3 linked regions of the Arabidopsis thaliana genome follow. The protein of the gene in region 3 interacts with the protein of the main gene of each other region in a biochemical or structural test. Each region holds a gene or a part of one and is shown on either strand. Other genes may lie near its edges.

Region 1 (4,585 bases), on a different chromosome or scaffold from region 3:
TTAGACAGTAAGGCCCAATAGTATTTTATTGTTACTGTCTGCGCTGAAACAATTTATGTTTTTCAGCAAAGTAATATCTTACTAATCAGTAATTACATACACCGTAACACCATCACGAATTTTCAGTACACGACAGAGTATAGGTATGATTGACTGACAACAATATAAAAAGGCTAAATTAGTTAGACTGTCTTATTAATTAAAAAGTAATATTGTACTATTACTATACTACTTCACTTAAATATTTATTCGACACACAAAAATAAACCATTCGTGTGAATGTTTCCCAAACACATTTGGGGCCGAAGCATTCGAGCGGGCGTACCACTCCAATTACCTGGTACACATAATTGAAGACTATAGTATGAAAATTAATGTTTTATGTTTTTGTCACCTAAATTTTTAATAAAATGCAGTTGCAGTTTGGTTGTCATTGTTCTGTTGATCCGTTCATTCCGCGTCCTGTATTTGGCTATCACAATTTCAATCTATGAAAATTTGAAATCCGTATGGTCAAAATTATATTTTAAAACCACATTGCTAGAGAATAATTAAAAAAATAATAATCTTCATGTGGAATTTATAGAAATTAATGATATACATTTCAGGAAAACTTAGCATGAAGTATATTATTTTAATGTGATGATTTTAGAAATACAAACCGAGACGCGGTATGGGATATGGTCCATTACAAGTAGGCACAATGGTCCACTAATAATTGTTATTACGACAACAGAATTAATTGCCTATTTAAAACGAAATGAATCATCGAAGAACATACTAGATCTTTTTCCAATTTACAACCAAAAAAAACATTATTAGGTGAGTAGTAAAAAGATTAAGGTTATCAGAAACTAACTGTAGTAGTATGTTGTGTGAAATTCTTTTGTATTTCTTATTAAGCCAAGGGTGCCCTTTCAATGCAACGTGATAAACGCCAAAAACGATGATATGAACAATTATAAACTCGTTGAGAGCATTGAACTCGGATAATAAATCATCTTTTATATACATCGTAGATAACAAACAAACACGTAATTAAATTTGACGTATAGCAAAAGACTTGAAGAATAAAACGTCAAGTTAAAGATAATTTTGGTATATATGAGAAAGGTATCGACAAAAACCATAACGCTATAGATGATTGTGATTTGACAAAAACACCCTCAAATCATTGTTTTCAGAGTTTTTTTAGATAAGGTACAGATAAGAAACCACCTCTAAAAATCAAGCAATAGATCTCATCGCTTAAAAGAAGAGAGAGATCTTCACTTGTATGTGTCCCACTGATTCCAACACAATGTCCCAGAACTTGCCACGTGTCGTTCATTTCAAAAGATTGCAGTACTGTTGTCCCTAGAGAATCATTATCTCCCTCGCTGTAATATCTTTATGCTCCTGTCACTTTCTGTCTGTACCCAAAAGAAGTAATGAACCTCTCTCATCTTCTTCTTCTCTGTTTCTTTCATGTTTTGTGAGTTGTTTCTCAACAATTTTCTGGTCTCTTAGAGTGAGAGGAGAGAGATAGAGAGTTGTGTTGGGCGTGGAACTTGGACTAGTTCCACATATCAGGTTATATAGATCTTCTCTTTCAACTTCTGATTCGTCCAGAAGCTTTCCTAATCTGGTCAGTAGTACTCTTTTTATACGGGTTTTTGGTTTTATAAGATGTGGCTATATTTGGAAATAACTATTTTGCAAGCTTTCCTAGATTGCCAGAATATAAAAAAAGATGTTTAACAAGAGAACGGACTCATGGACTTGCTTTAAATTTTAATTATTTTAAAATCATTCTATAATGATTAGAGTAAATAAACTATTAGGACTCTGAATTATAAAATTCGATTTTATATATGCTCCTCCTTGTATCTCTTAATCATAAGTTATCATTAGCTCTGTTCACTAGTGCTATAAAATATATTCTGAGGTTAATAAAACTTTTTTTTCTTTTTATTTTGAAATGTCTCCAGAGATCTGACATGGAACACCAAGGTTGGAGTTTTGAGGAGAATTATAGTTTGTCCACTAATAGAAGATCTATCAGGTATTATTTAATAATCTTTGATCTAATGTTTTCATTCATTAAAAAAAAAACTTTATAATATAGTCTGTGTGTGTGTGTATTGATGTCTAGGCCACAAGATGAACTAGTGGAGTTATTATGGCGAGATGGACAAGTGGTTCTGCAGAGCCAAACTCATAGAGAACAAACCCAAACCCAGAAACAAGATCATCATGAAGAAGCCCTAAGATCCAGCACCTTTCTTGAAGATCAAGAAACTGTCTCTTGGATCCAATACCCTCCAGATGAAGACCCATTCGAACCCGACGACTTCTCCTCCCACTTCTTCTCAACCATGGATCCCCTCCAGAGACCAACCTCAGAGACGGTTAAGCCTAAGTCCAGTCCTGAACCTCCTCAAGTCATGGTTAAGCCTAAGGCCTGTCCTGACCCTCCTCCTCAAGTCATGCCTCCTCCAAAATTTAGGTTAACAAATTCATCATCGGGGATTAGGGAAACAGAAATGGAACAGTACTCGGTAACGACCGTTGGACCTAGCCATTGCGGAAGCAACCCATCACAGAACGATCTCGATGTCTCAATGAGTCATGATCGAAGCAAAAACATAGAAGAAAAGCTTAATCCGAACGCAAGTTCCTCATCAGGTGGCTCCTCTGGTTGCAGCTTTGGCAAAGATATCAAAGAAATGGCTAGTGGAAGATGCATCACAACCGACCGTAAGAGAAAACGTATAAATCACACTGACGAATCTGTATCTCTATCAGATGTATGCTTCCTTTAATTCTAACTCATGATAATTACTTCTTGAAAACGTAATCTTGGTCTATCTCAGAGAGTAATACATAATACATTTTGCAGGCAATCGGTAACAAGTCGAACCAACGATCAGGATCAAACCGAAGGAGTCGAGCAGCTGAAGTTCATAATCTCTCCGAAAGGGTACTTCATCGGTTCGTCTATATAATATATAATATATAGTTTAATGTTAGAGAATCGTATAACATTTATACAAAGAAAACAGATACAAAACTCTGTTTTTTATTTTCTTCTTTTCATAACTTAAATAGAGGAGGAGAGATAGGATCAATGAGAGAATGAAGGCTTTGCAAGAACTAATACCTCACTGCAGTAAAGTGAGTTGATACAAATCAAATCTAAAAGTGAATCAGATTAAGAAATGAAGATTGATTCATTCATTGGTGTGTTTTTGCAGACTGATAAAGCTTCGATTTTAGACGAAGCCATAGATTATTTGAAATCACTTCAGTTACAGCTTCAAGTGATGTGGATGGGGAGTGGAATGGCGGCGGCGGCGGCTTCGGCTCCGATGATGTTCCCCGGAGTTCAACCTCAGCAGTTCATACGTCAGATACAGAGCCCGGTACAGTTACCTCGATTTCCGGTTATGGATCAGTCTGCAATTCAGAACAATCCCGGTTTAGTTTGCCAAAACCCGGTACAAAACCAGATCATCTCCGACCGGTTTGCTAGATACATCGGTGGGTTCCCACACATGCAGGCCGCGACTCAGGTAAGGCCAATACGAAGCCGTGTTTATTAAACGACGATTTTGGTAAAATGTTTTTTGGGTTTACTACATTAATACGAGATAAGAAAAAATGTTAAACCGACGTAGTTTTAGTTGACACGTTGTGTGGTTTTTTATTAGATGCAGCCGATGGAGATGTTGAGATTTAGTTCACCGGCGGGACAGCAAAGTCAACAACCGTCGTCTGTGCCGACGAAGACCACCGACGGTTCTCGTTTGGACCACTAGGTTGGTGAGCCACTTTTTTACTTCCTTATTTTTGGTATGTTTCTTTTTTATATCTATCTTTCTGAACATACTTAAAACGTTCAAGGATGTATTATTATAGAGTAAACGTGCAACTTCATTACGTTATTTTCTGTATATGTGAGTTTATGTATGTCAAAATGACATGATGAGATTTTTTGTAAACAACATCTTAAAAACAGGACATGTGATTTTTGTAATCGTAAAAACTTTGGGATGCAGTTTATTTTCTAATCAAAACAAGGATATATCTAAGTAATCGAAATTTTTTTCGAAAATAGAACTAGATGACACTTATAGATTATAGATCACACCTAATTTTGAAGATGTATCTAAAAGTCCATTCAATTTTTCTCTGTTCCCCTAATAAGAAATCATATGTTCATATTCAAAAAATAAGAAACACAAAAAAAAACTTTAAGAAAAACACAGATGATCAACCGTCTGGCTAGAGTTTGGTAAAATATTAATATCTTATGATTTCATATTGTTCCATAAATAAATAAAAAATCATAACATAAGCTTTTCTTGCTGATTGTCTAAAATTATGTATAGATGGAAAAAGCCAAATCACATGTGATGGAGCCAGATTTGAGTGAGAGTCATGTGTCAATTGTCAAAAACATCGACATTATAAGTCTTTAAGCCATGTGCATACTGGTCAGAATCTATTTAGCAATAATTGAGTTAAATATCTTAGATATTTTTGCATACTGTTTTCATATATAAATTTATTCCAAAGTTTGAAATAGTCGATCGAAAACACT
Region 2 (3,473 bases), on a different chromosome or scaffold from region 3:
CTATTGTTGTATATTGTTCCTGACCAGAACAAGAGTTTTGAACTTTACAGTGGGTGTACAGCTTCATAGTGTTCTTCTTCCCAGGAGGATCAACAAATTTGAAAAGCGGATTGCTTCCGTGGCACGCAATGCTTGGCCTGTTTGTTTACATACTTGCTGTCGGGAATGCAGCTTTAGGGTTTCTGGAAAAGCTGACTTTCTTGGAGAATGGAGGGCTTGACAAGTATGGATCCGAAGCATTTCTTATCAACTTCACGGCCATTATCACTATTCTCTTTGGTGCCTTTGTGGTACTCACTGCTTCTGCTGAGTCTCCTTCTCCTTCTCCTTCCGTCTCCAATGATGATAGTGTTGACTTCAGTTATTCTGCTATATAAAACACTTTCTACATTCCACGTTACATCTGTATCGCCCCTTGTACTCTCAAAACTCCATTTATGTATGATGCATTTGTAGCGAAAAGCTTTGTGTGTTACGGCTTTGCTACTTCTGGTGTGTAAAATCTTCAATGATATTGATGAATCTTTTAAATCATTTTCTTTTCTTTTCTTTTCTTTCATATTGCCATTCCTTTAACCATATATGCTATTTGCCTTATTGGTGTCAAAGCATTTAAGACAAAACAAAAAACAAAACATTTTTTTTCCGGTTTTGCCTTAGAAATTTGATTTACATTACAATAAACGCAATTTACGTCGTTGTTGATGGAGAAAAGAATTCAGCAGAAGAATTACAATCTGAAGCCTCTCTATAAATATGATGCTCCTGCTTCTTACATTTGGAACCAAACACAATGTCGTTAAGAGTCCAGTTGCTGTTGTTGATCATCATTTCGTTGTAATGGAACTGATCAACATCACCCATTTCTTCATAAGCTGAGAGAGTCTCTTCGACATTTGGAGCTTGACTGTGCTTAGAGTCGGTAAACTCAGAGGAATAATCGGTGTGGGGATATGAAGAAGAAAGCCATTCAGAGAAGAAAAGCCTTGGAATCTCAGGAGCAGAAGAACATTGATGGCTGTTATTTCCGTTGCTTTCTTGTGAGGGAGATGAAGATTTGTTCTCTAGAAGTCTCTGGAAGGAGAACACGTGATTCGAGATCAAGGTTTCCGGATTTCTTTTTCCACAAGCAACAAGTGATGATGATGAAGACGAAGGAGGGGAAATAGATTTTGCATCTTGTAAGCTCTGAGACTTGAGCCATTTCTTTTTCAAATGAGAGTGCCAATAGTTCTTTATCTCATTGTCTGTTCTTCCCGGTAAGAATTTAGCTATTTGCGACCACCTAATTACACCTAAATCATTAGTCTCTCTATAACTAGCATCTGCTAAAACAATAGGGTTAGGTCTTAGAGATACACTTACTTGTTACCCAAGGAAGAATGAAACGTCAAGATAGTCTCTTCTTCTTCTGCACTAATCATATCCCTCTTTAACCCTGGTCTTAGGTAATTAATCCATCTTAATCTGCAGCTCTTCCCATTCCTTTGTAACCCTATCAAATTAAATCCCAACAACAATTATCAAAGTTGACTCAGTTTGAGAAACTAAAAACTAATAAAGAAGAAGATGAAAGAGAGACCAGCTTTGATGGGAACAGTGGTCCAGCAAGAATGGCCATAAGAGAGGATGAAGCTCCTTAGCTTCTCGTCTTCTTCAGGTGACCATAACCCTTTCCTATGTCTCTCTCCATATTTCGTCTTCGCCATTTCTCTTTAGTCAGCTGTCTGTCCTGATACAAGAAAACATGTCTCAATACTATATATGGTGATTGAGACAACATATATATCACCAAACGTCCACAGATAGAGCCTACATACTTGGTGTTAAGAAATGACCAAATGGGCCTGCTTAGAGTAAATGACAAATGACATATATATTTCTATTTTTATGAAAATTTGGGATATAATTTATGTGTTAATTTCTTATGAGTATACTGTATGCATTTGTATAAGCAGTGAGGAGAAAAGTCATAATGGAATATGTAAGGATTAATTAGGTGTCAAAAGTCTGCTTGGATAAATTTAAATTATTGATATAATGTTCCAACTTAAAATAAATTAGCAATTTTCAGTATATATAAGATTTGAGATTCCTACCTATAAAAAAAAAAAAAAAGAAGAATCTTTGCTTGTTTTTGTTCTTTCACTTTGTTTTCTTATTGTTTGTTTTCCTTATATTTACTTCATTTATAATGGACGATGCCTTAAGAATTTACACACTAATCAGATAACATCTTCATATCCAAAAATCTCTAAAATGTCGGCAAGAATTTTATATTAACGACTTCTTTAATTTATGTTTAAATCGCGTCAATGAGTTTTTTGGTTAGAAACGATCATCCGGGTGGAATAATCTGTCTGATTCAATCCAATGATTGTGAATAATGAAGTAATGATTATAGAGAATCATCCAATCTGTTAATCTTTTCGTAAAGCATCATTAGCAAGCAGACAAATTGCATTTGCTAATACAAGTACTTGAAATAATTATTATATGATTTGAGAGCTCTTTTTCTCTTAATTATAAAATTTTGTAGTGAAGTCAACATTGAGCTCCTATTTGCTGCTAGTAATTATTTCATATTTTTTCCTCTCACGATGTTTTTCTTACATTCACACTGACAAGTGGACCAATAATAAGAGTTATTTGAGGAATATTGTGAATTTCAACAATTTGAATTCCTTCTGTCCCGATCGAAATGGCCTGTCCCAATTTTAAAAATACTCTGATTTTGTTTTTTACTTGTTGGCTCTTTTGGCCTGTGGAAAATGACGAGTAAAGAAAATTGAGAGGGAAACAATAAAAAAGTGTCTACCTTGTCTTGGTCGTCTTGATAACATAATATAATTTGCCGTCAAACTAATCCCCAATGAAACACGACTAATAAATTTTATACATCTAATGTTATGATGACTTAATCCTTAGCCCTCGGAGAATAAATTTTATACATCTAATGTTATGATAACTAGGATACTTTAGATTGTTCGTCTACAACAAAACTTCTCCTCCTTCGACCATTAGGCCTTGTGGTATGTTGATAAAACTTTATGAAATATGTTGACAAAGAAGGTTAAACATGGCTTAGTTTTATGCACCAAAATAAAAACATCATTCAACATTGAATGAAACACATGTTTTACGGTTAGAGAAGACAGGCGTTAGTCAAACAATGACAAATGCTTTTAAAAATGAGATACAATAATCTTTGTTTTTTGTGCTGACACTTTGAACCGGTTCTACATAAAAGCCAACAAGTCTATAATGCAAAAAACCCAACTCGCATCATTGGAAAACCCCATCTCTAATCCGGTAGCTACAGCTCTCTACCGTACCTAAGTAACTTACCCATCTGATAGGTTCCTTGTTCTTGAACACACCGAGTCGAAATCACGAACTAATCATGTTGAAATGGAATCTGGATAGCTGCTGCGGAATGGTTGATATAACCGGTCCATATCTCTGTTTCAAGA
Region 3 (4,584 bases):
ATAGATGCTGCATTTAATGTACAACAAAAATAAAAATCGTCAATCAACCACTAGATACACAAATAGTACTTCGTATAGTATATGATTCCAACCAAAACGGTGGGAACAAGAGAAAAATATTAAAATAAGAATCAATAATGCAAAGTTTTTCCATAATATCAAATAGATTGAACAGTGGGAAGTTGTAGATTGGAACGTATATTCCGAGAGGTCGTTGTCGTGAAGGAGATTGGAAACCTATGTAGTGGCTGTGGTTTTGCTTCGTCGCTCGCTAAGACACCAACAAAATATAAAGTACCCAAGTGTCAGACATAGCACCATGTCCATCACGAGGGCATCACGTGAACACGCCTTTTCTTCTTCCTCTCTCTCTCTCTTTTTCGATTTTTTTCAGGCCCATTTGATTCAACGCTACAAAGTTAACATTCATTAGTCAATTGAATAATAATAATTAGTATTTTTGTTCTACTAATTCGAAATTAGAATTTGATACTGTTTTTTTTTTTTTTTGATTGTTGATATTTAGTAACCAGGTCATTTTTGTTTATTCAGAATATGTTGTAATTATTGGAGTTTTTTTTAATTAAGGAAAATAGTGTGGACCTTTTTTATCAAAGATAGTAATAATGTGGACCATCGCACCTGCTCGGTGTATGGTTGATGATGACGTGACTCTAAAATTCCAATAAATGTGTCGTGGGGTTACAGAAAACAAAAAAAACTGATTCGTTATAGGATTGGTTTAGAGCCCACAACCCACGTGGGATTTTGGATAAAACCCTAAATGAATTCTTTTTTCAGGAATCCATAAATGGTCATGAAATGAAATGCATTCTCAGGCTGGAAATAATCGACCATTATATTATTGCACAAAAAAGTGAACTCTAGTATCATAACTCTGAAATTATTATGATTGCTGGTTACTGAATTTTGTAAGCCTTTCATAATAACGAATTTACCAATTGGGAGATCGAATAATCTTATCGTTGTTACAGACGATATTTTTTTGTCGATTATATTATGAAACTTGTGGTAGTCAACCTTTTTTTTTCCAAACGGAGACGTCATCTTTTTGTTTTTATATTTAGAGATGATCTGACCAAAAATAAACAAATAGACATCCGATATTTTACATTGTTTTATATATATATAAAGATAAAGCTTAATGACGAGTATTCAATGATAAACGATAAGATTACGGGAAAAATAATTAAACGGATAAAAATGGCCCTACCCGTTGTGCATTACAGTTCTTGGTTAAGAAATACTATTAAACTGTCTCTCAAATCTCAATATATAAATGAATACATTCTATACGTACAAAGATAAATTTATCTCTATGTTCATGTGTCAAAGTGGTAGTGAATCTAGTGACGTTATTGATTAATCAAGATTACTTTTATCTTTCTGTGCAAAATTTCAAGATTACTCTAAAGTCGATATATGCTACTATGACGTAGTTTTGGGACAATTACGTATAGAATCATAAAAACAATAAGCAGAATAATAATCCATTTAAGTACATTGTGAATTTGTGATAATGGAATTATTTGACAATACTTTTCCAAAATAAAAACTAATTTAATTACTGTATTAATTATTTTAGTAAAACAATATTTTCATTACAATGTTTGTTGTGAATCCAAAAAAGTATTGTTTCCAAAGAACTCAAATGACATCAATATGTCTATAATAACCTCGTGTAGCTGTATGTTAGAATCTAGCCGAATTGTTTTATTGTTGTCGGTGTACGCAACAAACGAACCACACATACTTTGAAACGTGGCACAATATAAGTGGGTCACCAATGTAGCTGACAACTATACCATCTATCTGATCCGATCGCTCTTATAACATAAGCGTATGGGATACCATTTTCTCGGACAAAGCTGAAATCCCTAAAGAAAAAACACTTCTCCAAACTTTTCATCTCCGATATCTCTTTAACTAACATGTAAGTATAATTAAACAGGAGGTTTCAGAGTTTAGGTTTCTTGCCTTGTTATTCTCTTTATTTATTTCTTTAATAATTTATCAATGATTTGTATCGTAAACCCTAATAGTTTACTACTTTTTTCTTGGCAGGTCGAATAATCAAGCTTTCATGGAATTGGGATGGAGAAACGACGTCGGATCACTTGCTGTGAAAGATCAGGGCATGATGTCAGAAAGAGCAAGAAGTGATGAAGATCGTCTAATCAACGGTCTAAAATGGGGCTACGGCTACTTTGATCATGATCAAACTGATAATTATCTTCAGATTGTTCCAGAGATTCATAAAGAAGTAGAAAATGCGAAGGAGGATTTATTGGTTGTTGTCCCTGATGAACATTCTGAAACTGATGATCATCATCATATTAAAGATTTTTCAGAGAGATCAGATCATCGATTTTATCTGAGAAACAAACATGAGAACCCCAAAAAACGTCGTATCCAGGTCTTAAGTAGTGATGTAAGTCGATACATAGATATATTTTCATGTTACCTTATGTATTATCATTTTTCACTGTTTTTAATTTTTTCTTTCTATAAATAAAATTAATTAATTTAGGATGAATCGGAGGAGTTTACAAGAGAAGTTCCTTCAGTTACTCGAAAAGGTTCCAAGAGAAGAAGAAGAGACGAGAAGATGAGTAATAAGATGCGTAAGCTACAGCAACTCGTACCTAATTGTCACAAGGTTGGTGTGTATATAGATCCTTCTATATAATGTTTCAATTTAACTATTGAGTGTCTAGTCTTTTCCGTATAAGTTTCCGCTACTTCCGTTGCATATATGAAGAAATCTTGCCTTAAGTTTCCAATTCTGATAACGGGTGGTGCTTTTTTACGGTTTTCAGACGGACAAGGTTTCGGTTCTCGACAAGACCATAGAGTATATGAAAAACCTTCAACTTCAACTTCAGGTCTATATTTAACTTTATTCACTATTTTTATTTCACACTTTATTCAGTGTTCTTCTTCCATATATTTGAATTATTGAGGCTTGAGGTTTTAAGTGTTTATCTAATAGTCTGAGTTTTTTTTTGGTTAATTTAACTAGTTGACATAAACTGTTCTTGGTATTCGATCTGACTCGCCAACTTATGAGATATGGATTATTGTTTTACAATATGGGTTTCAAATTGATCAAACAAATATAGCCACTTTTTGGTGTTTAGTGACGAAAAAAATGGAATGATATATAGTAGGCAGTAGATAACCTAGATGGTGAAGTCTATAGAATTTCTTTAATATTTCGAATTCATCTCTTTTCATGTGATTATTTAGTGCCAACTAAATGTTTTATATTTTATAGAACTATGTACCCATTTTGATCATTCGAATATGTATATGTGCTATTTATATTCAGAAACTAAGTTGTAATCAAAGTTGATGTTATAATTGCAGATGATGTCAACAGTGGGGGTGAATCCTTATTTTCTTCCGGCGACATTAGGATTTGGAATGCACAACCACATGCTGACGGCAATGGCTTCGGCTCACGGCCTAAATCCGGCGAATCACATGATGCCATCGCCGCTAATTCCGGCGTTAAATTGGCCATTACCACCGTTTACTAATATTTCATTCCCACATTCATCTAGTCAATCTCTATTTCTTACAACATCATCACCAGCTTCTTCTCCTCAGTCTCTTCACGGTTTGGTTCCTTATTTCCCAAGTTTCTTGGATTTTTCTTCCCATGCGATGAGAAGACTATGATAAGTAAGTAGCTCGATAAAAGTTTATGTGAAATGATCGTTGACTAATTAAGAGAGAAAAGAGTTCCAAATTAGGACAGTTTGTGTGAACCATTTGTGTCATATACTTTTTTTTCCGGGTGGTTTTGTATATTAATAATAATCAATAAGTTAAAACTTTTTGTATAAATTCTTGCATGTAACAATTTTTTCATTTATCTGATATTTTGTAAAATATATTGAGACATGCTTATAAGAGCATTGAACGTAGGAACAAGATTTCCCTGATTCTTAAGCGTCTCAAACGTTTACACTTGGTTACATGCATCCCAACTAGCTTTATCTTCAGCATCTCAAATTCAGGACCAGTGGGTCATACACTATGATAATGTTAATGTACAAAAAGTAACATTAACTTACCTCTGCACACTGCATGTTACTTAGAAGTTAGGATGTGGCTCTGCCAAATATAGGGCCGGATGTATGAGAAAAGATCAAAAGAAGAAATGAGGAAACTTGACTTCGAGAATTATTAATCACTTTCTTACACATCAATTATTGATTTGCGTTTTGTGTTTACACATCGCTTTTCCACAGTTGATATATTCATTTTTTTGTGGAAAATTCAAAATGTTTTCTGTTTTAAAGTTGTGACTTGTGAGTAATAATCTCTTTTCTTTTGTTTTCTGAGCTAGGTAAATACACACACAAGAAATATTACGTCCGAAACTCGAGACACAATTCATATTTATATATAAAAAAAGAAAAATTCTACACGCACAGACACAGGCGCACACTTATATACGTATTATTTTACAAATACATATCCTTTTGTCTCAATAAGGCTTGGCTTTAGTGAAAAACAATGTCAGAAAGGCATAGTTTTACCTACTAATTAGCT

The links.
Region 1: the proteins of HFR1 (region 3) and PIF4 form a complex in vitro, tested with the Arabidopsis thaliana proteins (one study listed by BioGRID).
Region 2: the proteins of HFR1 (region 3) and LAF1 form a complex in vitro, tested with the Arabidopsis thaliana proteins (one study listed by BioGRID).

Annotation. Positions count from the first base shown.
Region 1 is NC_003071.7:17,885,024-17,889,608, forward strand, and holds PIF4 (phytochrome interacting factor 4), read left to right. Parts: upstream 1-1,774; 5' UTR 1,775-1,853; coding exon 1,854-2,044; intron 2,045-2,134; coding exon 2,135-2,789; intron 2,790-2,881; coding exon 2,882-2,962; intron 2,963-3,090; coding exon 3,091-3,156; intron 3,157-3,236; coding exon 3,237-3,554; coding exon of another isoform or gene 3,555-3,584; exon of another isoform or gene 3,585-3,692; coding exon 3,693-3,800; 3' UTR 3,801-4,064; downstream 4,065-4,585. UniProt on the Arabidopsis thaliana protein: Transcription factor acting negatively in the phytochrome B signaling pathway. May regulate the expression of a subset of genes involved in cell expansion by binding to the G-box motif.
Region 2 is NC_003075.7:13,050,791-13,054,263, reverse strand, and holds LAF1 (myb domain protein 18), read right to left. Parts: upstream 1,762-3,473; 5' UTR 1,710-1,761; coding exon 1,583-1,709; intron 1,537-1,582; exon of another isoform or gene 1,496-1,536; coding exon 1,366-1,495; intron 1,286-1,365; coding exon 691-1,285; 3' UTR 522-690; downstream 1-521. Other genes in the region: ACYB-2 (Cytochrome b561/ferric reductase transmembrane protein family), read left to right, coding at 51-377; AT4G25550 (Cleavage/polyadenylation specificity factor, 25kDa subunit), read right to left, coding at 3,391-3,462. UniProt on the Arabidopsis thaliana protein: Transcription factor that promotes photomorphogenesis in the light by participating in the transmission of phytochrome A (phyA) signals to downstream responses. Probably acts by activating expression of light-induced genes.
Region 3 is NC_003070.9:465,054-469,637, reverse strand, and holds HFR1 (basic helix-loop-helix (bHLH) DNA-binding superfamily protein), read left to right. Parts: upstream 1-1,757; 5' UTR 1,758-1,952; coding exon 1,953-1,954; exon of another isoform or gene 1,955-2,085; coding exon 2,086-2,452; intron 2,453-2,551; coding exon 2,552-2,680; intron 2,681-2,840; coding exon 2,841-2,906; intron 2,907-3,390; coding exon 3,391-3,705; 3' UTR 3,706-4,022; downstream 4,023-4,584. UniProt on the Arabidopsis thaliana protein: Atypical bHLH transcription factor that regulates photomorphogenesis through modulation of phytochrome (e.g. PHYA) and cryptochrome signalings. Suppresses the transcriptional regulation activity of PIF4 by forming non-DNA-binding heterodimer.